Alligator mississippiensis: one gene and its partners. The protein of the gene in region 3 interacts with the protein of the main gene of each other region in a biochemical or structural test. Links are inferred from orthologs where the notes say so. Each region holds a gene or a part of one and is shown on either strand. Other genes may lie near its edges. The genes, in order: CEP43, CACYBP and S100A6.

Region 1 (9,644 bases), on a different chromosome or scaffold from region 3:
ATTCCTAGGAGGATTCACCTCTTGACTTTCCTAGGAGGATTCTCCCTGCATTCCTATACTTTTCAGTGCAAAGGAGATCCAAAGATATCTTTAAAACGATATACTGAAAATATGCATCATGTCCTGAACGGTATTTAAATGTCAGTTGCATTTACAGTTAATGCTTTTATAATGCTTTCTGTTTTCAAGACAACATGCAACTATTAACTAATCAATCTGCATAAAGCTCATAAGATAGATAAAACAGTTTTGGTCATCTACAAAACAACTAAATGTTCCAGGCATAATTTCATCGAAACCACTCAGTTCCCTATCTTTTTTTAGGAATATTTTTGACAAACATGAACATTTTTAGAGTAACCCTTGTCTGTCTCTCTCTCTCTTTTTGAAACAGCTGCAAATATTGACTAAAACTGTATCCAGAACTTAAGTCATCGCCCCCCTCCTTTTGCTGCATGTGTGCTTAGTATAACTTCCAAGGGTGTTGGATAGCATCCTAACAGCTGTCCTCCATTAGCGTTGCCCACAACACACAAGTAATCTTGTAATTACTTTGCCAATTAAGGAGTGTTAGAGTGAAGTTGTAGCGGATGGTCCAGGAATTATATGAAAGGCAATGACTTCTAAGTGTGATATCTTTTATTGGACCAACTGCATAGTTGGGATAGAGTTAGACAAGCATTTGACTGCAAGACATTCTTCTTCTAGTCTAACTCCAGAGTTCGTATTATGGGGTAGCTTGGGCAGGAAGGGGCGGCTGAGTCCCCTCATAAGAGATGAGGAACCTCCCACCACAATAAGAAGCAAGAACCACCAGTCAGCCCTTGGCTAGCCCTGCGCCTTTCTAAGCAGCCCAGGTGGCAGAGGCGGTGGCGGCTCCTTCCAGCTGCCACCACTGCAGACCCCCCCCCCCCCCCCCCGCTAAACAAAGTCTAAGTGTAATTCAAACCCTGTCTAACTCCATCCAAAGGTCTAACTCTATTCAAGTTTAACTCTATCTAAGCTTGCCAACTCTATCCCAACTATGCAGTTGGTCCAATAAAAGATACCATCCTAAGAAATCATGGCCCCTCTAATTAAGGAGAACAGGATTTGGTCTGATGGCATTTGTTAAGTATTGTTCACGTTCAGCTTTGACTATTGGGCTTCCCATTGTTTGGCATGTGCTCCCTGCCCCCAAGCTCTGCAGCTTCCCCACCTAGTGGAGGGAAGGGGAGTGGCAGCAGCACAGCAGTCAAAACAGAGAGAAACTTTTAAGGTGTGATAGTGATTTTTTTTAACACCTGTCTCCCCCATCTCTCAGCCAGACTCCAAAACATGACACTTTTAGAAACTTTGTGAAAGTCTGTTTCATTTTGGTGCCAAATAAATACGTACATAAAAGCAACCAACCCCAAGGCACCCTTCTAGCCAGTAGCCCTACCTGCCACGCTGGACAAAGCAGTGCAGGGGAAGAGGAGGTGTCACAGAGTGAAGTTGCAGATTAAACTTAGAGCAGGCATAAGCAACCCTTGGCATGGATGCCAAAGTGTGGCACGTGAAGGCATTTTGCTTGGCACATGCAGCTCAGGGCAGACAGCAGGGAAGTGGCCAGGCCTGTGCTGCCAAACAAGGATTGGGCCCCTCACAGCTCCCCTGCCACCCACCCCTGGCACTCCAACATTTTACAAATGGAGGTTGTATATTTTTGGCACTCTGCCCAAAAATGTTGCCAGCCCCTGATTTCGACCATATTAAGGACACTTAAAACATGAGTCTACACATTAAAGCTCATTAACTCATGCTAAGTGTCCTCTGAGCATCTCAAAGTGATGCCACTTCAGGCATTAACTCTGGACCACACTACCTAGGGTAACTTCAGCCTGCTCTGCTGAGATAATACGAACAATTTGCAGTCCTCTATCATCCCCAAATGTACCACTTCCAGCACCCCCACCTACCTAGAGCAGGGATAGAGCCCTGATGGGGTAGCCACATCCCTGCTCACCAGCCCTGTAGCCACAAAGTCAGAGCTGTACAGGCAGGAAACAGTATTAACCCTTAACATGCAGCTGCTCGCAGCTTTCTAACTTTAGCATTATTTCACGTCCCACAAATGTAGCACAGTCTAAGACAGGAGTGGGCAAAATCCAGCCTTTGGGCTGGACTGTTCCAGCAGTGGACTCCATTTCCCAGCAGCCCCTGCCTGCATCGCTGTGCCCGGTCTCCATGGAGACCCTAGGAGCTGCGGCACAGTGACCGTGCAGCGCCAGGGTTTCCATGGAGACTGGACCCACTAGTGCTGGCAGAGTGTGCAGCTGGGTGGGGAGCTGCTTTGGGGCTGGGATCTTGCAGTGGTGACAGTGTGGTCCAGAGCTGGGGCAGAGCTGCAATCCACTGCCCACACGCTTCGGGCTGGAGTGTGCAGACAGTGCTGAGCTCCAGACCACACAGTCAGCACTGCAAAATCTCAGCCCCAGCCCCAGAGCAGCTCCCCACCCAGCTGCATGCCCTTCCAGCACTGCTGGGGCTGGGCTCCATGGAAACCCTGGCTGGGCACTGCCAAGGTGCCCCCTCTACTAGGGTCTCCATGGAAAACAGCTGCAGTGACATGGGTAGGGGCTGCTGGGAAATAGAGTCTGGCTGCTGGCAAGATCTGCCATTTTGCTCACCCCTGGTCTAAGGCCTCCTCTACACGTTATACTTCAGGCATGATTAATCACTTAATCATGTCTTAAGATGCAACCCAGCTACACGTTTTCAATTAATGGTGTGATAAAACAAGCAATAAACAAGCTAAAAAATGTGTAATAACTTTATATCTTGTTCTAATCAGACCATTAATTGACCATGTAGCCCCTGTGTCTGGGAGCCCCATCAACCAAGGGGCTCCCAGCCACAGGGGTGCACCACCTGCTACCAAGGCTCGCAGTCAGTGGTGGCAGCATTCCTGGCACTGTCCTTGCCGTGAGCCTCCTCAGCTGCAGGGCTCACAGCGGAGACAACACTGCCCTCCCTGTGTGCCTCATAAGGTGTCTCATTAGAGTCCATAGGGCCTAAACCTGCATGTGTAAAGAGGCCCCAAGGGTAGCGTGTCACTTCACCCACAGATAAACCACCCTTTTTCCCCAGTGGGAAGGCCCAGTGCTTTTCCTCTGCCAACTCAAGGCTGCAGCGCCCTGCTGTGCCTTCAAAGCAAGGCTGGACAGAAACCAGCTGTACAGCTGCGACCCATTTTTTAGGCACAAAGTGTAGAGCCACTTGGCTCTTTTTTCTAGCTGGAAAATCATTTTTATCAGGTGGCAATTACAGCCTAGCTGGTCTCCACTAACCAGTGAATGGCGCAAGCATCACTTTGTCTTGTGCTTGTTTCTAGTTAAGGCAGGGTTCAGCCATTAACTTAGCCTTGCCAGGTCTTAAGTATAAAATTATCCTATTGGAAGCTCAAAATTATCTTATTTGCTGAAAAACTACCGTACACTGAAAAATACGTAAATAAGGATGCAAATCAGTCTTCTTGTTTACTTTATATTGTTCACTGTAACTTGCCAGTGACTGAGTGCGAACTTGAAGCATTGCTTTATTTTGAGGCAAGCATCATAAGAAAGTGCAGAGAGCAAACCCAAAAATGAGGCAGCACTGTACATCTGTCTGAACAGCAGGGGCCCTCGACAACCCGTTTCAACCAGTTTGTGTCCTGCAGCAAAGTACAGACACACCGAAACAGACTGTGTTAAAATGTTTCTGAGCAAACATCAGTCCTACTACCAGAAAACAGTGGGAGAGGATGGAGAAGACACAGCTAACTCCACCTGGAAAAGAGATGCTTGGCACAACCTGTTCAAAGACCCCCCTGGGAAGGGAAGAGGACAGAAAGAAAAGGACAATGACACAACTGGACCCCAGGACAGTGAGGAAGACAGCAACAGGTTCAGCAGCAGCAGTGACAGTGATATCAACAGAGACAAGGATAGGGAATGACTGAGAATGTAAACCTAAATCGGGGCTTGGACTACAGGACTGCGATTGGGTTAGGGAAGGGCAGCGGGTGGGTGTGGGCAGAGCTGGTCCAACCATTAGGCAAACTAGGCGGTCACCTAGGGTACCAAAATTTGAGGGAGCACCAAAATATATCCAGAACAAAATAACAGGAACATCATTCTAAATAGCAGCTCTGGCTAGCTACAGCTCCACCTTGGTCTAAGACCTGTGGCTCGGTAAGGGGATAAAGCCCTCTGAAAAGATCTCAGAGGTAAAAGTTCATTTTAGACTTCTTATTTTCCTCTATATTGGAAGTGGGGGGGCACTGAGGTGCACAATTACCCTTGGCCCGGCCTTGGGTGCGGGGGGGTACAGGATCATTTGTTGTGATGGGTACACTGCTTCTTAATGTGGTTTAAAGTGTGTGATGGAAAGTTTTATGCTAGATGATGTATATATATCTATATATATTTATGTCAATATAGCTATGATATAAATATATATAGCTATGTATATATCTCTATATCAATATAGCTATACGATATAGATATATCCATATATAGATGTAGATTTCCACCCCCCCCAAAAAAGAGCAAACCCAAAAGTCGGTCAAGACTCCTGGAGAGTGATTTGGGTTTTGCATTTGCTGCATCAGTGAGCTGCCTCAAAAATTATCGTACATTTTTCAGGGGGAAAAGGACAATTTTCTTGCCATTTTCCAGTTGGTCTAATAAAAGGTATCATTTTGGAGCCAAGACCTCTAGTTTGTACACTTTTACTATTAACCAGCCTACCTGAGCGCGTTGAAACTCTGATAACGATGATAATGACAGTCCGCCTGGCAACATCACTACCAATGAACTGCCTGACATACGTAATCCCGCTCCGCCCCCAGCTGGGAGCGATTGGCTGGGGCTGGACGGGGGGCGTGGCTCAGCGTCCTCCCTTCCCCTCCCGTTCTGCGCTCTGTAACTGAAGCTCTGGCTAACTGCTGGATGGTTAGGAGCGCGCGTCACGCGGCAAGTTCTAGGGGGCGGGACCTCGCAGCCAGCCCCGCCCCCTGTCTTCAAACCTCCCGCCTCATGGCGTCAAGCTAGCGCTGCGCATTCGCATCTACACTTTCAGTCCCGTCCGGTCCCTGCGGTGGGGCTCATCCTCCTCTTCAGGCGGCTGGGCCATGCGGTAGCCGGGCCGCCAGCTTTACGATCCGCAACCGCGGCTGCCCCTGCAGTCCCCCGCCTCCCTGGCCCGTAGCGAATGTGCGGGGCCGACGCGGCCGCTAGCGCGGTTTGGGCGGTTGTCAGGGAGAAACAAGATGGCGGCGGCGGAGGAGGACACGGAGCTGCGGGACCTGCTGGTGCAGACGCTGGAGAGCAGCGGGGTGCTCAACAAGATCAAGGTGCGCGGCGGGGGGCATGGAGCCGACGGGTCTCGCGGCGGGAACAGAGCCTGGCCCAGCGGCACCGGCGCGGCTCAGCCCGGGCCTGCGACCGCCCGGTCCGCGCAGGGGGCTGCGGGGGCCCCGGTCCTGGCACAACCGGAGAGGCGTCTAGTAGGGGCGGGTTGGGAAGGGTCGCGCTGAGTTAGCCCCAAATCCGAGCCGTCCCTTTCTAGCCCGACCCAGAGAGCAGCGTTGCCAGGTCTTAAATAGGAAATTATGGTCTTGGAAGGTCACGATTCTCGCATTTGCGGAGAAACTATCATGTGCTGAAAAACAAATGCAAGTAAGTATGCAGATAAGCCACTTTCTTATTGACTTTATGTTGTTTGTTGTGAGCCACCGAGCACTGGGTCATCAAAATTTAGGTGTTTCCTTATTTTGAGGTGAGCAGTCATAACGTGCTTAACGTAGACCCAAAACCTCCCACTTAGCTGCTGGAGTAGGAAGGTCTTGGCTTTAAGCCTGCTTTATGGAAATGGGAGACTTCTCCCTGGCTTGCCCCAGGGGCTTTACGGCTGAGGGCAAGCAAAACTCAGGGGGATCCGAATAAGTAGGATGCCCACTAAAGATTTTTGGAAACATCTGAAGCCCCAGATGGGGTTGCAGGATGCTTGGTAGTAGTAAGGCAACTTACGGTTCTGGACTAATTCTCAGATTTGGAATTTGTTTTGACTAATTTGGCTTGGACTACAGAAAATTAAACAAAAAAACCAAAACCTCATAAGTCAGTTAAGAAACCCTGAATGTTACCTGGGTTTTGTATACGCTGCATCAGTGAGCTGCCTCAACAATTATCATACACTTTGAACACTTACTGTTATTGATCCTACATTGTACATGGGTTGTAATTGTACAGATACGATAATTATTATACACTTGGCAACACTGACAAAGAGCTGTTCTGCAGCCCAGCTCGGGACCTTGCATCGCCAAATGAGCTGGGGCTGAGTTGTCAGTGAGGGGATTTATTCAGAGCTGTGATCTCTTCCCCTCCCCGGGGTGCCACCAGGTCTGCTGGGACAGCCCTGCCAGCACAAGGCACAGGGTGAATCCAGAGGCTTCCTCCCCCCACCCCTGGTAAAAATGTCCTGCCCTGTTGTGGGTTCCCTGTGGTGCAAGAACTGCCCTGTCATTTCTCTGCAGTCAGAACAAGTGGTGTTTTTCTGATGGGGGAGGGGGAGGCCTGAAGTGTGTTGAGAGCTGCTGATTTGGAGGAAGGTGGACAGCTAGCAAAAGCTCAAGTTGACAAGCATGTTGGAACAAGGGGGAGTTGTTGGTTTGGAAGAGCAGTGGCAGGCTGTGCTGTGTGCCATGCTGCTAAGCAGAAGTCACCTGTTGATGCTTTGCTGCCTCTACCACTTCACATAACAGTTGCGTCCTCAGCTTCATTTCTTGCATCATATTGGTAGGTGAAAAGCACAGTTTGTAGATCCTATATAAGTAATATTGATTATAGTGAAGTTACTGAAGTCCGGCTGCTGCCTCTATTGGGTTTCCTGTGCTTTCTTTCCTTGTGCTTAATTCAAATGTGCAATGTGCTTCAACACGGAAAACTTGCTATAACCAATACAGCACAATTAAGGATTCCTTGGCTGACCACAAATTAATGAAACTTTCATAGAAATATATAGTGTATACTACTGCCTGAATTATTTCTTGTACTTGCAAGGCCTCCTGCACCTACTTCATGAGAACATGAGATTGATTTGTCATGCTGCAGCAGACCAAATGCCTTTGTGCATATCCAGACAAGGTTCCTTGGGTGAATTTGATATCTTTTATTAGATCAACCCACTTTGTGCATATCCTGCCTTTGACAGTGGGAGGTAACTTCTGCCCATAGTTTTCTTGCTCCCAATCAATTGACGTACAGCTTTTCAGTGGCCAGCTAACCAGTAACCATAATCTGAATTGGGAGTAAGCTCAATCTTTTGGTAGTTCTGGTGAAGCAATATTGCTTCTCTTGGTCTCTGACAGATTTTGGTAAACCTTTGTTTTTAAGAACTGTTCAAAAGCAACCCGGTCACTTAAAACCCAAACTTGAAATGGAAGCTGGCTTAATGGGTATAAGGAGAAAGAATACTTTTCTTTCCTGCCAAATGTCAAACAGTGATGCTCATTATATTATTTTCTGTAGTTTTAGTACATATTAATAGCTTTTATTATGGTGCCAAAGTTGAGAGAGAAAGTTATGCTTTGACAGTTGTTGTTTATGTACTGCCAGATGAAATGCAAACTAGTTTCTAGGAACTGGTGAAGGTAAAAACTAGGAAGCAAGTCCTAGAAGGATATCTGTTTAGTGTTGTTTAGAGGTTGATAAGAATAAATACGTAAGAAGATTATCTGGATATAGGTGTGATCTAGCTAAAGTAGACAATGTGAAATTGTCAAGAAGAAAAATATGGAAGGACTGAAAAATAGAACAAAGAGCAGTAGGTAGGACCCGTAACAGGCCTCCAGTAATGCAGCTGAGGGAAATACAGGGCACTTGGGGTCATTGCTGGTCTGCTACAGTGACTTGTGGTGATTAAGTGAAATCTTAGTCCTACCATAGACTAAATGAGGTGGTAATAATCATTAGTGGTTTGGAAACTAGTTTTTTTTGTGCCAAAGTACCCAGCATAGCTATAGATTATTGAACCAGAACATGCAAAGTTTCAATTGCTTTTTAAACCAGTTAATAACTGCTGAACACTGCTCAATATATTTTACTTGTCTTTGAGCACAGCAGAATTGGGGTAAAACCTTAATTTGGTAGTTGGCAGCATACTTACCTACATGTAAATCAATATGTTGTCCACTTCCAGTTGATACATTTTCTATTTCTTTGTCAACTGAACTGAATTATTAACAGAAATATTATCCATGAGAATAGTATTAGTCAGCATTCAAAAATGGCCTGTAAACTGACTGCTGTTTAGATTTGGTAAGCATGGTCCTTTTTAAAAGTAAGTTCTTTGCATACACAATGATCCTGAATGTTCTCCCACTAGTACTGGATGTAGGAGTGTGTCTCTGATGGGATGGAGCTTCTTTCAAGATCATTTTACTCTGATTTAATTGGTTGGAAGTATCACTAATGACGAGGAGTTTCTAGTACTGGCTACCCCTTTTAGCTCTAACAGTGATGGAGCAAGCCTTTCCTGTGATGGTATAAAACTTAACAGGATCTCTGAAAAGTCAGTTGCATTAATTCAATCTAAAAAAAAGAATGTGTAGGAAACTTATTGGGAAGTTGACATCTGGATCCCAGGAGCAAATTAAAAAGTAATAAAGCTGTATTAATTTTAAAGAAGACTTTTTAAAACAACACTTTCAGAGCTCTTTTAAAGATTTTACAAATTTAGGAAATTTTAAGATCTGATTTTGCTTTTATAGCTTCCTTCCATTTGTTGCAGTACACATCTTTTTAAATGCTGAAGTACAGTCTTTTAAAACTGCCAGTCATCTGTCATAGTGAGTGTATTTTACGTGCCAGGATACAGTCATCAACCTATTTCATCTGTTGTCACAGAAGCAACTTCAGAATGACAGCTCACTTTGAACTGGAATAACTGTATAGAAAGACTTAATTCCCCCCTCCCCCCCCCCATACATTTGTTTTTAAATAATGATACCTAAGCTTAGATTTCTTCCACTTCCACTTGGGTGCCAAAGAAAATCAAATGCACTACACACTAAAATGACTTTTAATCGTACAAATCAATATCCATTTCTTAAAAAGCTTTTTCACCTCTGGTCAAATATAAACTTTGGGATAACTTCAACAGCAACTGTTGCTGTTGCTTAACTCATTAAATCTACCTGCTAGCTATTGAGCCATTTAACTAGATGAGGACTTTTTAAAGGGGTGAATTTCTTAGCCAGAAATGTGTAGAACAAAATATTTGAAGGGTATGTAAACACTGAATGAAAGACAAGGGAAAGTGAAATATAAGCATTCAAAATAAAGGCTTGCCTAGAGTGGAATCTCTTCCTTGATTAAGAAAAGATTCATGAAATTATAGTCCACTTAGATTTGTACAACGCATCCATAAATTTTTAAACAAATTCCTGTTATAGTGGTATTTAAGGTTAAAACTTAAGAGATTTGATTTTTTTTTCCCTTTGTAAATGTGCTGACCATTAGATGAATTATTTGTGGATTTTATAATTAAACTTTACTTAAATTTCGATTTGGGCAAGTCAGTCCCAAGGCTGCTGTGACCATTACTTAAACTTTGATTATGTTTTATCTGTACAT
Region 2 (10,190 bases), on a different chromosome or scaffold from region 3:
CTGGCCCCGCTCCTCTGTTCTGTAGCCAGAGCAGGGACAGCCCTAGTGGAGGCACTGGCAGGTGTGACCCCGCTAATGCAAAGTGGGCAGGGAGGGAGTTAATCCTGCCCCCCTTTTCCTTTCCCCTCACGCAGCTGGGCTCAGCTGTCTGCTGGGGCGGGGGCTGCAGCGGCGGCCCCTGGAGCTGGCGGGGGAGGGAATGTCCCGTGCTGGGGGTCACTCTTCCCCCTCTTCTGCCTCCACAGGGGCAGCGGGAGCGCGGAGCTCAGCTGGGCAGGGGGTGGGGTGCAGAGTGTAGGGACCCGCACACACTCCCCCCCCATAGCGTGCAGCCCCCGCTGCCTGGCAGGCGCGTGCCTGATGCAGGCGCAGAGCGGGGAGTGGAGCCTACCTTATCCCCGAGGCTGTGCTCCCTGCGCCTCTAACTCCAGCCCTGGCAGCGGGGGAAGCCTCACACTGGAGCCTGCTGTCCAGCGCGGGGCTTCCCCGCTGCACCTGTGGCGCTTGCTGTAGGTGCGCAGCGGAGCCCGGGCCAGGGCATGGAAGCAGCCGGGCGGGCTGCGGGGCTGTGCTCCTTGCCCCAGTGCGGCGCTGCCTGCCTCTGTCCCCCGGGCTCCGCGTTGGGCCCCTGCAGCGCCACGATCACAGCAAGGAAGCCCCGCACTGGACTCTGTGGGGAAGCGGGAGCAGGGCTCCCTCCACTCCTTGCAGTGCAGGGCTCCTTCCACTCCTCGCAGTGCAGGGCTCCTTCCACTCCTTGCAGTGCGGGGACTGCGCAGCCGGGAGCAGGGAGATGGCAGGCTCCAGTGCGGGGCTTCCTTCCCTCACTGCCAGGGCTGGAGCTACAGGCTCTGGCCAGCTACACACCCTGCCCAGTTGAGCTCCGGGCTCCTGCTGCCCCTCTGCCAGGAGGAGGGGGAAGAGTCCCCCAACATGGAACAGAGCCTCCCCTGCCCTGGAGGGGGAAGGAGTGACAGGAAGAGTCCCCCTCTGGGGTTGGGCAGCCTCCCATTTAGCCCCCCCAGCAATGGGGGAGAAGCAGGGGGAAGAGTCCCCACTGGGGTCAGGCAGTCTCACAGAGCACCCCTCCCCACCCCACCATAGGGGGGGGAGAGGAGAAGGGAGAAGAGCCCCCCCAGCACCGAACAGGGTCCCCCTCCTGGCCCTCAGTGGGCAGCGGGGAGAGGGAGAAGGGGGACGAGTTCCTCTCTGGGACTGGGCAGTGCTGTGCGCCCAGATTGCTCCTGGCTGTCAGGGGGCCACTGCAGCCGGCCTGCCAGGGCCTGGCCATGCCCCCTCCTCCGCTCACCCTCCCTGTGGAATTCAACTGCTCTAGCACCCCGGGCTTCTGGCTTGACTCACTGCAGGCATGTGCTGGATGTCTATCCGTTTACAAACCAGTTCACTCTCTGCAGGTTAGACTAACTTGCAAACACTGAATCAATTCAGGTTCAGGTTTTTTGAATGTCTGTCCCTAGTTCAGATGTAGGTGTCTGTTTTCTTGAGGGATGCCTTCTATGTCCTTATAGCATTTTCTCTGGCAACTGTGAGATTTCAGGCTGCAACTAAGCTAGGAATAGGGCACTTGTTTTGGAAGCTGAGAGTTGGGCATCTGCATACAATGTCCCCTCCAGAGAAGTCAGTGCTTGTGGCTCACAGAGACTATGCTGGTAACATTAGCTTCAGTGATGCTGGCGTTTGTGCAACGAACATTTGATGCAAAGGATTTTTTGGAAGCATTGTTGGTGATAGTGGTAAGATTAATCACAAAGTTAACGGTATTGTTTTTTTTTATGACAATTCAACTGAAGACTTCAAAAAAGAATATGGATTGATGGGTCTGGTGTGATCGAGAATCTATTTAAACTGCTCTATGGAACACTGCCATCCTTACAAGTCAATCCCAGAATTTGGACATTAGGATTTAGTTATTTCAATTTGATCTGGTATTCCCCCAAGAAACTTAGCTTTCTAATGACTTAGTGTTTTATTTGTCAGGCTTTCAGTCCCTTTTCAATGTAGCATTCAGAGTAAAACCAGTCAGACTGTCAAGTGTTCTGGCCATTCTTGAATCTACTAAATTAAAGCAAATTAATACCTGGCAAACCTCTCCTTACAACAGTACAGTATTAGTTTTCTGCATGCAGCCTTTGTACTAGCCCTGTTTATTTCTCCCTTGGAACTCCACTATCTATAATGATTTTTGTGGACAGAGCTTCCTCATTTATCTATGTATAGAAAATTTCCATCTGAAGTGGTTTAATTCTTCCTTCAACTTGGTTAGTGGGATGATACCTCCACTCTTTCCCATATATTCTAAGTACAAACATGAGAAATGCATCAGGTGTAGTTTTATAAGGATTCTTGTTGGAGGTCTTGAAGTACAGAGGTTGCAATGATTGTGAGGGTCATTTTACAATCTCTTTTTGTAGTGGGAGAAATGTGCTTGATTATATGGCCATTGCAATATTGTTTCTCTAATTTCTTACTGGTGGTCTTTACTCAGACAGCAATCACCAATCCCTGCAAGTACATTTCTACTCTCCAGAAGCTTTATTCTGGAGGGATTTGGGGAGATTGTGTCTTATTCAGGATTTTTGAAAACTCAAAGTGAATTAAGTGGAATCCTTTAGCTAAGTCTAAAAAATAACAGAGCATCCAGCAATCTGTTGGTTTTTAAGAACCAATTTTGTACCTTGATGATCCAGAGTAAATCTACATGCTGTTTATTAAGATAATTTAAAAAATCCAGACTAAAAAGGGGTATTTATGATCTTTTAAAGAATAAAAAAATATATACAATTTTAGTTCCTTCAGTTGTAAGAAATGGCTTTGTATTATGCCAAGAACTCTTTGATATAATGGCTCCCCTGATTCAATTAAGACAGTAGATATTCTAAAAAGGAATATTTAAAAACAGTGAATAAGAAATGCTATACTGTGATAAGACCTTTTGGAAGGCATTTTAACTTTTGGAACCAGAGAAAAAATAGTCTCTTACTTGGAAGCTGGTAGCAATACACTATGGTGAGATTAAGGTAAATACCAAAGTCCTTATCTCTAGGCATGCTGGGGAAAGAGAACTTTTCCTGACATTTATAATGTTATTTCATCTTTCAGGAAGTAAGGATAAAATTAATTGTGTTAGCAAAATGATTTACTAATAAAAAGTCCAGAGAAATGATAATGTGATCCTGGGATTTATTGCCCAATTAGCATCTTAGATGTGGCTTTTAAAATCTATCCTAAATATTTCTGAGGGAGATAACAGGAATTGTTAACTATACTCGCAAACAAAAAAGCCAGTTTCAGGAATGGCTGTACTGCTACTACTGTTTTGTCCTCTCATTTGATTTGTAGGCAATAGCTGCTCAAGAGGGGAAAATATTATATGGTCTTTGATCTGCAATGCTTTTTTTACTCTATCAGATAGTCTCCAGGACTAACTAGCAAGAACTACTATAGATTTTGGACAACTTTTTTTTTTAACCCTCTATAGTCAAACAGTGGCCAAGATCAGGAAAGGGTAGAAAGAAATAAGGATGTTCAGTTCACCTGTCACAAACAATGTCTATCCAGGCCCCACTCCTTTTTAACTTCTATATGGAGAAAGTGCTTAGTTTAGATGGGCGGCAGTTTTTCTTTTCACAGCTGAAACAGTTTCACTGTCCAAGCTCCTCTAGCCCTGGAGTCGATTAAAATATTTTTCCTACGAGGTGTGCTTAAGGGTTAGTTGTCAGACAATTTAAATAATTTCCCTTGGCCATGGGCTAAGGCAGTATAAACTGAAGACTGATAGTTATATGGAACAGGTCAGGTCCCTCCCACGGGATAAACATGTTGTGACAGAGAGAAGTGCCTTCCTTCCTATATGGACAGTGCTTTGTTTCCTTTCTATCCTCAGGCACAATTTAATCCCATTGGCTTCTGAGAGTTTTCAGGGCTAACAGAAGCGTCCCCTTGCGGTACAGTGCAGACATTTGAAAGAGTTTATGCTTATGCTCCCATTGTACCCCAACAGCTCCTGCCGGGGTACAGATTGGGAATGCATTGACCGGCTAAAGCTCAATACCCAAACACTTACTGTATTTAAACAAATATAAGATGAGGTCTGCCCCCATCAGCATGGGGGAAAAAAAGCCTTGAACCTTATATTCACATACAAAGCAGAGGGGGAGCTGTGGGTCTAACTCTGGCCTTGAGCCCGGATCAGGGCCAGAGTCAGACTCACAATCAGGCCCTCTCAGAGGTCAAGAGAGGCCCGGGCCACATTTTTTGAGGCTCAAAATACAATGCAGTAATTTGTAATAAATGTTCCTTTTTTATTTAACAACTGCTTTTCTAGCTTTTTTCTTCTTCTTTCAATCCTGTCAGTGTATTTCTGTGTCTGTATGTATAACCTCATTTGGAGATAACGTCCAAAGTCTAAATTTGAGGCCTTCCGTGAATGAGAGGCCCGGGCCAAATGGCCCTCCTGGCCCCCCTGTGACAGGCCCTGCTCACAACCACTTCCTGATGCCCCCAGCCACTGCTTCAGGCTGATGTAGCAGTGGGGAGGAGGGGATTCAGGAAACCCTCCAGTACTTAGATTCTTTACCTAGAAAACTATACAACTCTGTACGCTTTTCATATACAGCATTTAAGTATTGCAGGGCCATCTTGTAGTCAAGTAAATATAGTCTAAAGGCCGCGGCACCAAAATCCCCTGGACCCTGGGCAGGTCTGGACCGGACCGGGCTGGGCAGCGCCAGCACAGCCCTCGCTGGCACGCTGAGGCCGAGGGCCACGCCGAGGCCGAGGGCCACGCCCAGCAGGCCCTGGACCCCAGGTCAGCAGCAGGTCACGCTCCAGCAGTCCCGTGGGGCCCGTCTGAGCCCACGACCAGGTGAAGTAACTTGCCTGAGCACCCCAGTGTTGCCAGGTCTTAAATATGAAGTTATCCTATTCGAACCTCAAAATTATCATATTTGCTGAAAAACTACTGTACACTGAAAAATATGCAAACAAGTCTTATTTACTTTCTATTGTTCAGTGTTGATGCCAGTGAGTGAGAACCGGGTCATTGAAGCAGCAGCCTTTATTTGGAGGCATGCAGTCATAAGGTCGTGTTGACAGCAAGCCCAAATGTCAGCAAAGACTCCCTGAGAGTTTTGCCCGCGCTGCATCCAGGAGCTGCCTCAAGCTTCAGTGTACATTTGGGACACGTTCACTTTTATGGATCGCATATCGTGCAAGGGTTAACATGATCACACAAATACGGTAATTACCGCGCCCGACACCACCGCTGCCCCCCCGCGCGCCGCGCCCAAGGGCTCCCAGCCTGCCCGCCCCTCCGTTTCCACGGAAACACGGTTGCCCCGCCCACTCCTACGGGACCCCACCTAGAGTGAGAGGGGCTGGTGGCCCCCTGCGCCAGGACCTTCTAGCTCGGCTACTACCTCTATGGTTCTTCCGGTAGAGCGCCGCGGGCGGAGGGGCGGGGCGGGGCTTATGTAGATCTCGTCGCTAGGGGGCATGTCCGCGCCGGGTTCTCGAGGGGCGTGTAACTAAGGGGCGGGGCTATCGGGAAAGTTCCAGAGCGGGGGGAGGGGAGGAGCGAGGGCGGAGCAGCCGTGCGGCTGAGTCAGTGCGGCGAGCGCGCCCCCTCCCTCGCTCCCGTACCCCGGCGGAGCCAGCGCGTGCTGCGCCGAGCCGGGCCGCGCCACTCCGAGACATGGCGTCGGCGCGGGAGGAGGTGAGTGGCGAGCCGGGCACGGGGAGCCGGTGGCAGCAGCGCCTGGGGGTCTGGCCGGCGGGGCGGGGCGGGGCGGGGCGGGGCGGAGAGGCAGCGGGGGACACGGCGTCCCATGGCCCTCGGGGAGCCAGCGGGCGCCGCCCCGTGAACCGGTGCCGGGTGGCGCTGTTTGCCCCTTGGGACTTCGTGGGCGAAAGGTCTCCGCCACCGCCGGAAGCTATAAGCCGCGCCCAGAAAGGGCGGCCGCAGGGGAAGCGGCAGCTGGCCCCTCGGGCCAGTCATAACAGCGCGGGGCGGGCGCGGGGCCGAGGTCAGTCCGTCACGGGGGCGGGGCGGGGCGGGGAGCGGAGCGCGCCCGGACAGCCCTGGGCACCGCCAGGGCTACTGGCCGTCTGTCACCTGGGCCTGAGCCCCGACTAACCTATTGGCCTCCCCCACCCCGGGAGGCTGCAAAACAGGTGACAGTTGATTACTGGGGACAAATAACAAAAATAGGGATGGGGGTGCTGGTCAGACTAGTGCGCTGAGGGGAGGGACGAGTCTGAGGAGTTGGTGGGCGCTGCCCAGTGAAATGCTGTCTGTGTGTGACGCAGGAAACTGGGCAGGATGAACTCATGGGCTGACCCAGTACGCGGCAGTTCTTGCACGTTCCTGTGTTCGCTGCTGGGGCCGTGTAGGTCACGCCTGTGGGAAACGGCTGGCTGAGGCAACTGCTCACTGAATTTCATGTTGGGGGCTACTTTGCTGGTTTCAAAAAGACTGCAGAGCTGTGGTGCTGAGCATGGTGCTGATGGCGCTCTCGGTGATCCCACTACTGAGAGCTCTGGGCAGCTACTTCTGCTAGCAAGATCAGGGCCGGCATCCTTGGAACGAATAGCCCAGAGATAAAAACCAAAGTCAGAGGGTGTTCAGAGCGGCTTGACTATGAAACTGGCACGTGTAGGAAATTAAAAAAAAAAAAACCCAACAAGTTACCTGCCTCTATCTGTCAGGTTCTAGAAAAAAATGTGAAACTGAGTTATATACTTCATGGTCATTTTAATGTGTAAGGTTAAGTTTGAATGTGTAGCTGTGGAGTGCATCACCAATCTTAATGTAATGTACTATGTTACTTAGCTTTATTAACTCTTGTGATCTGGTGCTAGCATACGCCTTAACTTTTACACTTAGAAAACATTCACACCCTGTCTTAGAGCATGTTTACCAGCATAATTATACTAACATAGATCCATCCCTGTGTAAGTTCTCCTGTGTAGAACACCCCCCCCCCCAATAATCACAAAGTCATCAACAAAGTTGCTTTCTCAGGAGGAAAATAATAAAGATGGATACTGTCACAAGGCAGATTTCTCTTCCAATTGGTGGGAAAAGGAAAATTCTGCAATATTTTTTTTTCATAGAAGTGGAATTCAAAGGTGAGCAATACCCACTAGCATAATAAAGTTACAATATACCTCAGGAACTGGCCTGGGACCAATATGGTGAACAAGAAGGGGGAGAAAACTTTCCAGAGCATCTGGCTTAACAATTGTTTATGTATCCGTCTTTCTTGTGCAACGTGTTTGGGGGAAAAAACACAAAATTCTAGAAGGCAGGAGAGCTTGGGCTCCCTGACTTCAGAAATTGGATTTCCAGACCTAGGAGATCAATGTTTGTCAAGGCCTGAGAGAGAGAGAGTTATTATTAACTTATTAACAAGATTGCTAATTTAGAATTACATAGGTAAATAAACTAGAACAGTATGAAGTTTGATTATCAGATGTTTTAGGCGTCTACCACCATGCAAACAATTAACATAAAGCAATACTAGGACCAAGCAATAGAAGCTGGACAACACTGCTGTAAAGGGTGGAAACAGATGTCACCTGATGTCTCATTTGCACTGCCATAAAATTTTTTATGGCAGCACAAATGCTGAGCAATCAAGTGTTGATCACATTGCCTCTTGTGTCCGCCACCAAGGGCAGGAAAAGGGGCAACATTTGTTTCATCCAGTGAAACGGATCAGCTGTGCCATGACAAGTTTCTTGAAGTTATTACATATGATTCTCTTAGGCCAGAGTAATTGGACTTGCAAAGGCAAAACATACATAAAGCATTGCTCAGCTAAAAACTAAAATATGGCCTTATGAGGTCTTGCTAGACAAAAATGCTAACTCAACAAGATACTTTTCATTTTTTTTTGTTAAAGGACACAGAAAAATATCACCCCTAAAATGAGTCCACCTCTCAGTTCTGCTACCCTGGGAATAAGGGAGTGAAACTAGTCCAAGTATTAGTAGCAGGTCTGTATTCTCCAGCTGCTTTTGTGAGTTCAGCAAAACTCAGGTCCACATGGTAACCTAAATTTATATTTAGAGCTGCTTTAGAGGCTGCTGGGTATGCAGGCGCTTTATTTCTTTTGGACACTCAATGAGTGAAGGGGCTCAACAGTTTGCCTCAGGTGAAGTAGCATGTAATCCAGTGCACATATATGGTCTTTTATTCTTAAACCCAGCTGCAGAAAGACTTGGAAGAGGTTAAAGAGCTGTTGAACAAAGCCACAAGAAAAAGAATTCAGGATGTCCTGATGGCAGAAAAGCATAAGATAGAGACAGAAATCAAGAACCAGCCAGGACCCAAGCCCAAAAGTGATGCAGTAGAGGAAGAGAAACCACCAGCTGGAGGATATACTGTGAAAATCAACAATTACGGTAAGCTTGCACTTCCAACTTCCTGCTGAGAAAATACGTTTTAACAGAGCTGAGGGCACTGTTAGTGCCAACCAGTGGTTAATGAGTTATAATTGTGTAATCATGAAGGTGACAGAGGGAGGTCGTGCTCAGTTTGTGTGTGTTTGCATCTTTTAAAATATAGGGGTAATAACTGCCCAGTATGGAACATGATGTTTTAAATGTGGGATGTTTAGAAGAGGGGAGGACAGAGTTTCTGGAATTCCTCATCTCTCTTCCTAGCCCCAAGCAAAATAAGCCCACCCCTTTAGGAGGGGGCAGGATATGTTACACAGCGGTTGCTCCTGTGAAGCATTGAGATCCTCTCCTGAATTACAGTAAACGTTTTGTTAACCGGTATCTTACAAGTCGGCATGCTATACTAACCGGCATGCCGGCTTGTAAGATAAAGTGAAACTGGAAGTGCCTGCCGTGGCATTTTTGGTTTCTCCGACCTCCGTGGCTCAGGGCAAAGCAGCTTGCACTGCTGAGCCCCCACAGCCCAGGGGCATAACAGACTGCGGGGTCTGCCCCACAGGTCCTCAGGGCCTGCGGGAGTGGTGGTGATGCTGCGGGAGGGACGCCCCAGACGTGGCAGGAGAATCTGTGGCCAGGGCCGCTCAATTAACGGGCATATTTTTGTTATCCAGCATCCCCCATTCCCAGGGGATGCAGGATAACAGAGCTTTTACTGTACCTGTAGCCAAAGCATGGGGTGGGTAAAGTTAAGCACCCCCAAATTCTACTCCCTATTAATGCAGGGAATTACTGCTTTCTGACCTGCCCAACCATAAGTACCCCTTCCCCAGTACTTGACAAGAATTGAGGGAACATGTGCAGTTCAGCTGCAGTTTAGGCAAAAGGAACAGAGTACCCAAAATGCTAGTCTTGGGGAAAGGACAACTGGGGGCCACTAATACGCAATCTCAGTTTAACAGGGTACTGCAGGAGTGGGTCTTTGAAGCAGCCAGGTAGACTAGTCAAACCAGCCACCCAGCTCTGATCCTCTCCATCCTTTCCTGCTCAGTCAGGCAGAGCTGCCCTGGTTCTCTGAGAAGAACCAGAGAAACCAAAGAACTTAGCTGATAATTGCATTCCTAACCTTGTTGCTTCTGTTCCATTTATGCTCCGCATGGTGTCTTTCCCCAGCTATCTGAAGATAGTTGCAGCAGAGCATTATCTATGGTGGAATACTGTACTTGCTTCAGGGAAAGCGGGTCATGAGCTGGTGGAAGAAGGCTGAAAGAAACCTACCTGTCCTTTTCTCTTGCAGGTTGGGACCAGTCAGATAGATTTGTGAAGATTTACATCACTTTAAATGATGTTCACAAGCTCCCAGCTGAGAATGTGCAAGTGCATTTCTCAGAGAGGTGAGTCCAGACTTTTGCTGTGCCAGCCAGAAAGCACATTTGGAAAAGCTGCATCTCAGATGAAGGGGCCTGTTTTGTTGAACACTCCTCTGGGTCAAAATCTAAAATGGTCTATTGTCTTTAGTACATACTGGTATGTATGTGTATATTTCTTCTCAGAGAATCTCAAAACATTTTACAAATTCTAATTAAGACTCATGACACTTGGTTGGGGTTCTGAAACAGAGCTGTTATTTGTCCAGGTTCTGCAAGAAGTTGGTGCGACACAGCTGTAAGAAAGAACCCTGAACGGGACTATTATTTTCTTATACCTTCTAGATGATTATTTTTCCAAGGATTTGTACAATCTTGTAGCAAGCTGGAGATGAGGAAATC
Region 3 (10,099 bases):
CTCGGAGCAAATGCGTGTCCATGATCAGGCCGTGCCGGGTAGGGCAGGCATTTCCTATGCAGCTGTGATTGAGCTGTCCTAGGGTTTCCTCCCCTGCGTGACCAGGGTAGGTGACGCGTGAATAGATGCCTTGGCTTGATGAAGCCCTTGTCACTGTTTCATGCTTCCTGGGCCCTTTCTCCCTGAAGCATCTCGGGGCAAAGTGTGGGGGGAGGGGGGGGGGCAGGCAGGAGTATGGCTGTGGACTGGAGCCACCTGGACACATGGCAGGTTTATCCAATTTGGGGTGCTTTAGACAGAGAGGGGTAAGGGAGATCTCAGATGATGGCCATTGACTCACCTGAGCAGCCATCCCACGCTGCCTTGTCCCATGTCCATGCATGTGTTCATCCACCCCATGCTCATCCCCCCCGCCCCCCCCTCCTCTCTCCCACCAGGGATTGCAAAGACTCATTAAGCTCTGACTCCCCCAGTTCGTCCCTCATTTTGTTTCCTGCTCTTGTCCAGGCTGTTCCACTCCCTCCCCTGCAGATACACCCCATGGCCCGGTGCCAGTCGGTGCCCCTTGCACCCACCGGGGCAGTGGCTGCATCCGCCCATTCTTCTCTGCCCAAAATTGGGCCTGAGGGGAGGGCAGGACATGGGGCCCAGGGCTCCCCAGCCCCTTGTAGCCAATGCCTGCCAGGACGTTTGGGTGCTCCTCCGCTCATTGGCCTTGCTTTAATTTCCAGAGCCGGAGGGGGTGTCCCCAGTCATGTACGCTGACTATAAATACTGAGGGTTTTTGCTCAGCCGCTTGTCCGGCCAGCATCTGTCAGCCTATTTCCTGCCTCGCTGCCTTGGTAAGTGGTTTGTTTTATTGAGATGCTTGGGGCTTCAGCTGCTCCAGCTGCTGGTGGTTTGTGCATGGGGGGCTGGGGACACAGCCAGCCCTGCGGTTTGGGAGAAGGGGGCGCTGCCTTTGCTGCAGCAGATGTACATGATCCTGAGCTGGGGTGGTGAAGGCGGCCACGGGTTCCCCACTTAGCCTGGGTCTCAGAGCTGCCCTCTGCATCCAGGCAGTTTTGGGGTTAGTGGAGGTCTGGGGCTCTGCTCTGACACAGCCAGGGCTGCAAAGGGCCTCCCCGGACCCACGCAAAGGGTGATGCCTCCTCTGGAGTCTGGGCTTATGCAGCAGCCTGGCTGGGGTCTGCAGTACTTGTGCCCCCCGTTGTATTCCCATTATGCTCCCAGCCCCCAGGCTGTCATTGCTTGCCCCCCACAGCCATTCTTCTGCTAAGCCCCCAGCCCTCAGGCTGTCATCGCTCGGTCCCTCCAGCTGTGCTCCTGCTAAGCCTCCAGCCCCTGGGCTGTCATTGCAGTTGGCGCTGGCTACCAACGCCCATCTGCGCTGCCAACATGACCTCAGGGGAGGCTTGGGAGCAGGCAGGAAACAGTGACACATCCTCCTGCCTTGGTGCAATTAGCAGGTGGGGGCCCTCCCTCTGGGGATGCTGGGCAGGGCCAGGCTATAGGCACTTAGCACTTGTCCCATGGGCCTGGGTGAAGGGTCTGTGACCGGAGGGCTTGGTGGGGATGCTGGGAGAGCTGGGCACACCACAAAAGACAGGACCCGGGTACCTTGCCTGTGCTCCTCCTATGCAAAGGCACTCAAATATATTCAAATCTGCTTCCGTCCCTGCACCCTTAACCCCTGGGCCAGCTGGTCCCAGCTTGGTAGGGAGCTCTGTGCTTCGGGCCGTGCTCTAAGCAGCCCCCTCCCCACGTCTCTAGCTCCCAGATCTGCCATGGCGCATCCCTTGGAGCAGGCACTGCAAGTGATTGTCTCCACCTTCCACAAGTACTCGGGGAAGGAAGGCGACAAGTTGAAGCTCAACAAGGCAGAGCTCAAGGACCTGATGCTGAAGGAGCTGCCCAGCTTCATCAGTGTGAGTGGGGGGACTGGGACCCCCAGGCACTGGGGGCGGTGCTGGGACCTGGGCACAGGAGACCTGTCTGCCCCTGTGAAGGGGTCCAGTGGCCTCTTGCAGAGGGGGCTCGGTTCCTGCTCTGGGATTTATTCTCAGATAAATCTATTCTGCCCCTTTGAAGAGGGGAGGGGGGCAGGAGGTGCCCACGTCCTGTCCCAAACAGTTCTGCCTGGGGCGGGTACACGCGGATGATGGGGTGGAGGGAGGTGGGTGATGCCCTGAGCTGCAGGAGGGGTGCAGAGCATTTCTGGGCTAGGCTGAACCCTGCTCCCACCTCCTTCCCCCTGGCAGAAAAAGACGGATGATGCCAGCTTCCAGAAGATGCTGAGCAACCTGGATAGCAACCGCGACAACGAGGTGGACTTCCAGGAGTATGCCACCTTCCTGGCCTGCGCTGCCATGATGTGCAACGACATCTTTGAGGGCTGCCCCGACAAGATGCCACGGAGGAAGTGATTGCCCTGGGCCTGGGCTGTCCTGCGTGGGTTCCTCCTGGGACCCCCGCTGCATTGCTCACCACTGCCTCGAGAGCCCGTTGAGAGCCCGTGCAATAAAGTCACTTCCAGAGTCCCGTGTGTGTCTTCGACTGTGTAACTGGTTCCCGGACTGTGTTGCACATGGAGTCGTAGGGGTGGGTAAAGTTCCCTGTGGGGTCTTCAAGGGTTTCTGCCAGCTTTGCCCAAAAGAGCAGGGGTCTGATCCAGGCGCAGGGAAAAGTGCAGCAAACCGGGGTCGGGGGCTTTGCTCCTTCCAACTCCAGGATAGCAGCCCTCAACTGCTGGCAGCAAGGGGAGCTCCTCCTAGGCTCTACCCCGCTCCAGGGGGATCCATCTTGGCAGGTGACCCCATAAGTCCTTTCCTACCTGGGTGAGTTTATTGCAGAGCCAGAGCCTGCTGCAGCCCCTTCCCCACAGCTCAGTGACCATGGGGTCCCAAGACCAGGGTGAGGGGCTGGGCCACAGCACTCCAGGGCAGCTGGCTGTGTGGCCCTGGGGTCACCCACAGAGAGGCAGCAGTGCCTGTGGTCCAACTCCACCGGATGGAGCCATGGCTGCTGCATGACGGGGCTTGGACAGTCCCAGCAGCCCCCCACAGCAAACCCTTGGCTCTTGCCGGGCACCTGTCCTGGGCCCTTGCTGTCCACCCCCTGCCTCCGGCTCTGCATCTCCCCAGCTGGGCATTGCTAAGCAACAGGGCTCTGCCCCTCTGGAGCATCCTGCTTGCTGAAATCCCTGGTGCCAGGAGCTGGCACTGCCATGGAGACAGCAATGTCCTTGGGAACATCCTCTACATCATGCTCCAGCTGCCCCCTTCCCTCCCATCCCCTCTGCATGGGGCCAGATTCTGCTCTGGATTTGCTTTGGGGGAGCTGTGAGCTGAGGGGTAACCCCAGGCCACCCCGGGCAGTGGGTGCAGGGGCCATCTGGCTCCAAGGCCGTGCCCTGACTGCACCCCACAAGCATGGGCAGGCGGTGACCCTGGGGAGCCAGGATCCTGGCAACTGCATCCACTTTCCATTGGTGCCTGAGCCAGGAGGGTATAAGAGGAGCTGCCTGCCCTGCCCTGGACTCTCTGCACCCGTGATCTCCTCTTTGGTAGGTTGGGGGGTTCGATGCCATCAGCTGGGCTGGTGAGATGGGGGGATAGGCTGGCTTGGGGACTTCTCTGTCCTGCCTTCTCCAGACGTGCAGCAGCTGCTGACTCTAATGCTTCTGCATGGGGCTGCTGGTCCAGCAGGATGGTAACCGCATGACCCAGGGGGTCCTGGGCAGATGGGGCAGCTGTGCCTTTCCTACCCCCCCACCTATTCAGAGTCCCCAGCGCCCAGTGGTGCCTGGGCCTCGGGCATGAGGTTAATTCCACCTCCCCCTGCACCCTGGAGGCTTCTTTCCTGTGTCCCCAGCCTTGCAGGGCGGGGGGGGGGGGGAGGTGAGCCCCCGTTCTTTTGTCCCACTGAGCTGGGGCAAAGGCTGTTACCGGAGAAGCCCAGGTGCAAAAAGGCACCTAATCCCTCCTAAGCCTCTTTGAAAGGCCTCCTCAATAGGACCCGCCTGGTCCGGGTGTGAATGAGTCAGGTGCCCCAGGGCAGTGGAGCCACACCCTGCCCAGCAGTTTGTGGGCATCTGCTGTTTGCTCACCACGTTGCTAACGGTGAAGGACCCACGTGGTGGATTTCAGGGGCATGGGCCTGGGCTTTGATGAGCTGGGCCAGGAGATCTGGTGCCCGTTGCTGTAAGCACCCACCGAGGCCAAAGGCTGTGGTGCAAGGGGCTGCACACACAATGGCCGTGCTGGAGGGGGTGGGGGGCCTGGCCCTGCGAAACCTCTACTGCTGTCTAGAGATTGGGTGGAAGGCCAGGAGCTGAGCTCAATCCCCTGCCCTGCCACTGCCCCCTCAATGACCTTGGCCATGTCCCTGGGTCTCTCTAGGCTTTATTCCCCACAACCCGCATCCTGCTGCTCTTCCTGAGCTGAGCAGCCCCAAGGGTCTTCACCCCGGTGTCGCGCTTCTGCTCCCCGCGTCCCCTTCTCCCTTGCAGGTGGCATGGAGACCCCCCTGGAGAAAGCCCTGGCCACCCTGGTCCTCACCTTCCACAAGTACTCGGGGAAAGAGGGTGACAAGTTCACCTTGAGCCGGGGGGAGCTGAAGGCACTGGTGAAGAATGAGCTGGGGCTGGGCCAGGTGAGAGCTGGGTGAGGGGCTGCAGCGGGTGTGCCCCTCTCTGTCCGGGATCGGGGCCTTCCAACGCTGCAGGGTGAAGTCCTCCCTGCTATACCCACCATACCCCCCCCCCCCCCGGGTTTCCCTGTCCCTGGCACAAGCCCAGGGGCTGCGTGTGATCGGCTGGGCCCCGCTCTGCAGAAAATGAAGGAGCACAACATTGACGAGCTGATGAAGACTCTGGACAAGAACAGCGATGACGAGATCGACTTCAAGGAGTACTCGGCTTTCTTGTCTGCCCTGTGCATGGCTTACAACGACTTCTTCCAGCAGGATGGCAAGTAGCAGAGCCCCCCACGCCCAGGTCCCTTGGCCTGGGCTGCAGCGCAGCTGCCTTCAATAAAGAGCTTTCCGCCTGCTGCTCGCCTGAGGTTGTTTTTTCCACTCTGGTTCCTTTCCAGCCTGGTTCTGGCTCCGAGCCATGGGGAGGGACACAGAGGAAACCCCCGTGCAGGGGAGGGGCAGATAGAGCAGGGGGTGATGCCCCTGCCCCACATGAGAGGATGCATGGGGGGGCAAGTGAGACAGCCCCTGCAAAGACTCCTGGGGCCCTGCTGCTACAGGTGGGGCAGGGGCTCTGTGGCAGCACTAGCTTGTGGCCTGGGAAGGGTGTCACCATGGGGACCCACCTCTGCCCTGCCCCAGAGCCCAGTTGGCACGGGGCCGGTGTGTGGTGGGGGGCTGGGTGCGGTGGGGCAGGGTCCATGGTGCTGGGTAGTGTCCGGGGCAGTAGGGGCAGGGCTTGTGCAGAGGGGCAGGGCTTCCCCAGCGTCCTGGGAGGTGTGTGTGTGGGGGGCACCCAGCCCGATCTATAAAGGCTGCCTGCTGCCTGGAGCCTCATCCCACGCTCTCCTCTGCTCTCCTCTCCTCGCTTCTCTCCGGTTCATTTGGTAAGTTGGCGCTTTCCCTTTCCTCCAGAGTGCTGCCATTGCCCCGCCAGCTGTGGCTGCACTCTCTTCCAGTTGTGCCCCTGCCCCACTCCCTCCCTGGCAGCAGTTCTGGAGCTGGCTCCAGGGACCATATCTGGACAGAGAGGCCAGGACTCCCTTCCTCTACCTCTGACCCCATTGCTCCTGCCCCAAAGGACCCCGTCCTCCCCCCAGCTCTCTCCAGCTGGGTTTGCAGGGTCCCCTAGTAGTCCCCAATACCTGTGGGAGCTTTGTACCTGGGTTTCCCAGGCACAGACGGTGCTTCTGGGGGCAGCAGGGTCCCAAAAACCTGGGGGGGGCCTGGGCGATGTGGGGGGACTGCTATGCCCCGGTGTGGGGTGTGGCTTCTTGCACAACAGCCAAGCTGGCAGCTGTCCCAGTAGGTCTCGGCTGACACCCTGTGGCAGTGGGCGAGAAGGCACTGGCTCCGGCTGTCTCTCAATGTGGAGCTACAGGGTTCAGGGCTTGGTCCCCACCCTGCCCTGTGCTTCATGCCTGGGCCCCACTAAGCCTGAGAGCAACCAGGGGGGTGAGCGGCGGGTCTGCCTTTCCCGCTCCCCAGTGCCTCCACCCTGCTTCGCTCCCTTTCCTGCGGTCCGCAAAGGCCTGCGGCCAGTCAGGGTGCCCCGGTTTGGGATCCATGTGGCACTCCCTGGATCTCTGCTCAGAGCCAGGCCCTACCCCTTCTCTCCTGTCCTTTCCCCGTGCCCATCCCCAGGGTGTCTTGGAGCCCCCACCCCGCTTTTCCTGGGAGCATCAAGGTTGCACAGCAGACCCTGGATATCCCTGGATCAGCCAGGCCAGAGAGCCATGGGCACCCGTGCGGTCTCCCTGTCCTTGCTCCGTCCCATCTCCAGCCCCCCCGGCCCCTGCTGCAGCTCACAGGCATCTCTGCCCCCACCCAGATCCACCCCGCAACCATGTCGTGCACCCTGGACCAGGCCATCGGGGCCTTGGTGTATGTCTTCCACAAGTACTCAGGGAAGGAAGGCAATAAGGACACACTGAGCAAGCAGGAGCTGAAGGAACTCATCCAGAAGGAGCTCAGCCTTGGCCCGGTGAGTGGGGCTGGGGGCAGCAGAGTTTGGTAGCATCCCAGAGGCCAAAGCCTGGCACCTGCAGAGGCCCAGTCACCTGGGCCCAGATCAGCCCCCCTGGTGCTAAGCGCAGATGGCCCTGGCCTGGAGGAGGGCAGAGACGGGAGGGTGGCGAGGGGACTTGCCCAAGGTCACCTAGGAAGTCAGTAGCAGAGCTGGGAAGGAACCCTGCTTTCCCAAGGCTCCAGCCAACAGCTTGGCATCACACCCTTGGGGATGTGGGGGGCAGTAGGATTTGGGGATTTGGTAGTGTCCCAACTGCCCCTAGCTCATGGCCCAGCTGGAGAATCTACCCAGCAGAGGCTCCCCCCGGGGTTATCAGTGTCTGGCTCAGGAAGTTGTGTGTGCAACTGTGTGCATGCATGTATGTGCATACCTGTCTGAATGTGTGCATGAGGGTGCAAGGCCAGAACAGTGGGCCCACTCCCCATTTGGCGGCGGGCTGCCACACCTATTCATGATGCAGAGGACAGCAATGCAAAGAATCCGCGTGGTGACTAACGGCCTGGCTTAGCAACCCTAGGACGTGCACAGCCCTGCTCCAGTGCAGAACCCAGTGAGTGCCGCCAGAGGGCTCAGGCAGGCAAGGTTCTTCGGGTAGATGTGATATTTTTTATTAGACCAACTAAATAGTTGGAAAAAAGTTCTTTGCAAGCTTTTTGGGCAAGAGAGCTCACACACCCTTTAAAGGGAGAGTCCCCTCATTCCTATACTCTGCAGGGGCATGGTGGGGAGCCTGGGTTGGATGTTTTGGGTTTCTTTTGAAGCCCAGCTTCTCAGCTGCTCCCATGCAGAGTATAGCAATGAGGGCCCTATCCTTTTAAAGGGGGTGTGAGCCCCTTAGCAGCGCTCACCAGGTTCTGCATTTTGGAGGGTGAGGCCAGCCGATGCCTGTCGAGGGTCACACGCTGAACACGTTAACACACCTAATGCTTCCTCCCTGCTCCAGAAACTGAAGGATGCTGACGTCACCAAGCTCATGGCCGACCTGGATCGCAACAAGGACCAGGAGGTGAACTTCCAGGAGTACGTCACCTTCTTGGCAGCCCTGGCCATGATCTACCATGAAGAGCTGGCCAAGCACAAGTGCTAGCCATAGCTGGGGATGGGGCAACCTGGAGGGGCCTGCCCTGGGCACCAAGCTGGAAAATAAATGCTTTTTTGTAACGCCTTGCCCTGGGCTCCGTCTCCGTTCTGTTGCCTTCCAAGAGCAAGTGCCCGCTGGGAATCTGCTGGGCATGGCATGGCTGAAGTAGACAGGATGGGGCATTGAGGGGGGCCGTGCCGCATGCTGGGACATGGGGATGATTTGCGGGGGCTGTGGCAGGGTCAGCGCACATGGAGCAGGGTCAATGCATGGGGGCCCAGGGTCAATGCACACAGAGCCCCAGTTGCCAGCACTGCTGGAGGCAGCTCGGGCTCAGGTCCCTACAGCCTGATGTCCCTGGGGCCTGGACAGATGCATGTCATCCTGGGGCCGAGGGGCTCAGCTCACCTCAGCCCCTCACTGTTCTGGCACTGAGCACACATAGGAGGCTGGAGGGCCGAGACCTGGCAATGCAAGGGGGCATGCCTGAGACTGCTGGGGCTGCAGTATGGGGGTAGGGCTGGGCTGGGCTGGGCTAGAGGGTGCCCTGGCCGCCCTGATGCCCTCTGCATCTCTGCCCCTATGTTGTAGCAGCTGGGGGAGTAGGGGGGTGATGAGCAACAGCTGCGGCTCTGCAGGAGGCTCACACTACGCCGGGCTCTGGCCAACTGCCCACATCATCCCGGATCTGGTGACCATGGTCCTGAGAAGCCACGGCGTTTCCCAGGCTGGACCATGATGCCGGTGTAAGATCCCAGGGTTGATAGCAGATGCTCTGGTTTCTGAGGGCGCTTGTGGCCTGGGGAGCTCTGGCCACGGCTGCCTCCAGGGCACGGTGCAGTGCAATGAACCTGGGGGCAGAGCAGCTCATCCCTCCCTCACTCCCGCACTCCATCCCTCTCTCTCTTTCCCTCTCTGTTCTGTTTTGCATTGCTGCCTGTAACTTGATGTCTGTTGGGCATGCAATACATTGGCAGTGGCAGTGAGTTGGCCCTGACACATGTGCGCCCCTTGGGCATTACTGTTCTGTTTGGGCCTGCTTTGGGTCTTGTGTCTTACCTTTTGCATGGTCCTGGGCTGGTCCAGCACCGGGCACAGAGGGGTCCCGGTGTCTGGCATGACAGGAAAGCAACTCAGTATGGAATTGGAGACGACGGGTCCAGAGGGGCAACGCACCAGGTCAGCTCATGGGGAGCCAGTAGGATGGGGACCAGGCTCAGCCAAGGTGCTGGCCAACCCATGGTGCTCAGACAAGAGCCATAACTGGACCAGGGAGTACTGAGGCACCGAGACCAACCTGCCCAGTGGTGGAAGCCATGTGTATGCCTGTTCTGCGGGCAGTATGGGGGTACAAGGCACCCTTGGTTCTGGCTTTGCTGGTTGGCTGGGGCAGGGACTGGGGTGCAAGGTCCAGAGACATGCTCCCTGCAGTATCTCAAGCCTAGCAATTCCCTTTCCAGCTCGCCGCAGGGTGATGGACCAGGGGACCCAGAAGCAGAGGAGCTGGGGGTCTTTTAGGAGAACAGGCTGCAGGAAGCCTCCAAAGGTGCCATGCCAAGCCTGGGTCTCAGCTCCAGAGATGCACTCAGTAGGCATGGGGAGGTCAAACCCCAGTCAGAAACACAGCAGGAGAACCTACCTGCATCATGGGTCAGGCTGTGTCTTTGTGGTGATAGCTCCTGTCCAGGGGGCAGGGAAGCTCTTGGCTTTTGGCCATGGGAGGAGTCACCACCAACCTCCCGGCAGCCCAGGCTGATGTGCCGCATCTTGGTGTGTGCATTAAGGCTTCCCTGCCTTCACAACGGCCAGCGGCCTGTGCATGCTTGGATGAAGCAGGAGGTGGTGATGGAAGGAGGGAGGAGGGCTGATGCCAGAGCTGCCTGTGGTTGGTGCAGGGGGATGGATTGTAGCCATGGGTAGACAAGGTTCTTTAGGTAAATCTGATGTCTTTTACTAGACCTCCTCAAATAGTTATGGTTGATGCATGCATCTCTCATCACATCCCAGCATGGCCGAGCGGATCTGTTCCCTGTGGCCAGGAGGGGGCAGTCCTTATCCTTCATGAGGCCCTTTTGATGCCAAACGAAGCTGAACTTGACAATTGGGGTCAAGTGCTGCCAAGTTCATGGTCTGTCAATTGGGAAACAGGCCTCAACCCTTCCTCCTTGTTTGTTAGGGAGATTAAGTGATCCAGGAAAGCAGGGGACAGGCCAGGATTGCAGGCTCCTGCCTCTGCCGCGGTCTTAGCAAACACCCTTTCCTGCCTTATGCCTCAGTTTCCCCTCCTGTCCTTG

The links.
Region 1: the proteins of S100A6 (region 3) and CEP43 form a complex in vitro, tested with the Homo sapiens proteins (2 studies listed by BioGRID and IntAct, with this or other methods). The link is inferred for Alligator mississippiensis from reciprocal best matches to the Homo sapiens genes S100A6 and CEP43.
Region 2: the proteins of S100A6 (region 3) and CACYBP are reported together in a solved structure, tested with the Homo sapiens proteins (2 studies listed by BioGRID and IntAct, with this or other methods). The link is inferred for Alligator mississippiensis from reciprocal best matches to the Homo sapiens genes S100A6 and CACYBP.

Annotation. Positions count from the first base shown.
Region 1 is NC_081824.1:144,063,242-144,072,885, forward strand, and holds the start of CEP43 (centrosomal protein 43), read left to right. Parts: upstream 1-5,000; 5' UTR 5,001-5,275; coding exon 5,276-5,359; intron 5,360-9,644. UniProt on the Homo sapiens protein: Required for anchoring microtubules to the centrosomes. Required for ciliation.
Region 2 is NC_081828.1:48,613,694-48,623,883, forward strand, and holds the start of CACYBP (calcyclin-binding protein), read left to right. Parts: upstream 1-5,617; 5' UTR 5,618-5,713; coding exon 5,714-5,734; intron 5,735-8,231; coding exon 8,232-8,427; intron 8,428-9,718; coding exon 9,719-9,815; intron 9,816-10,190. UniProt on the Homo sapiens protein: May be involved in calcium-dependent ubiquitination and subsequent proteasomal degradation of target proteins. Probably serves as a molecular bridge in ubiquitin E3 complexes. Participates in the ubiquitin-mediated degradation of beta-catenin (CTNNB1).
Region 3 is NC_081838.1:13,257,500-13,267,598, forward strand, and holds S100A6 (protein S100-A6), read left to right. Parts: upstream 1-5,481; 5' UTR 5,482-5,582; intron 5,583-6,526; 5' UTR 6,527-6,541; coding exon 6,542-6,679; intron 6,680-7,667; coding exon 7,668-7,811; 3' UTR 7,812-7,892; downstream 7,893-10,099. Other genes in the region: S100A4 (protein S100-A4), read left to right, coding at 1,788-1,928, 2,262-2,426; S100A5 (protein S100-A5), read left to right, coding at 4,516-4,653, 4,834-4,977. UniProt on the Homo sapiens protein: May function as calcium sensor and modulator, contributing to cellular calcium signaling.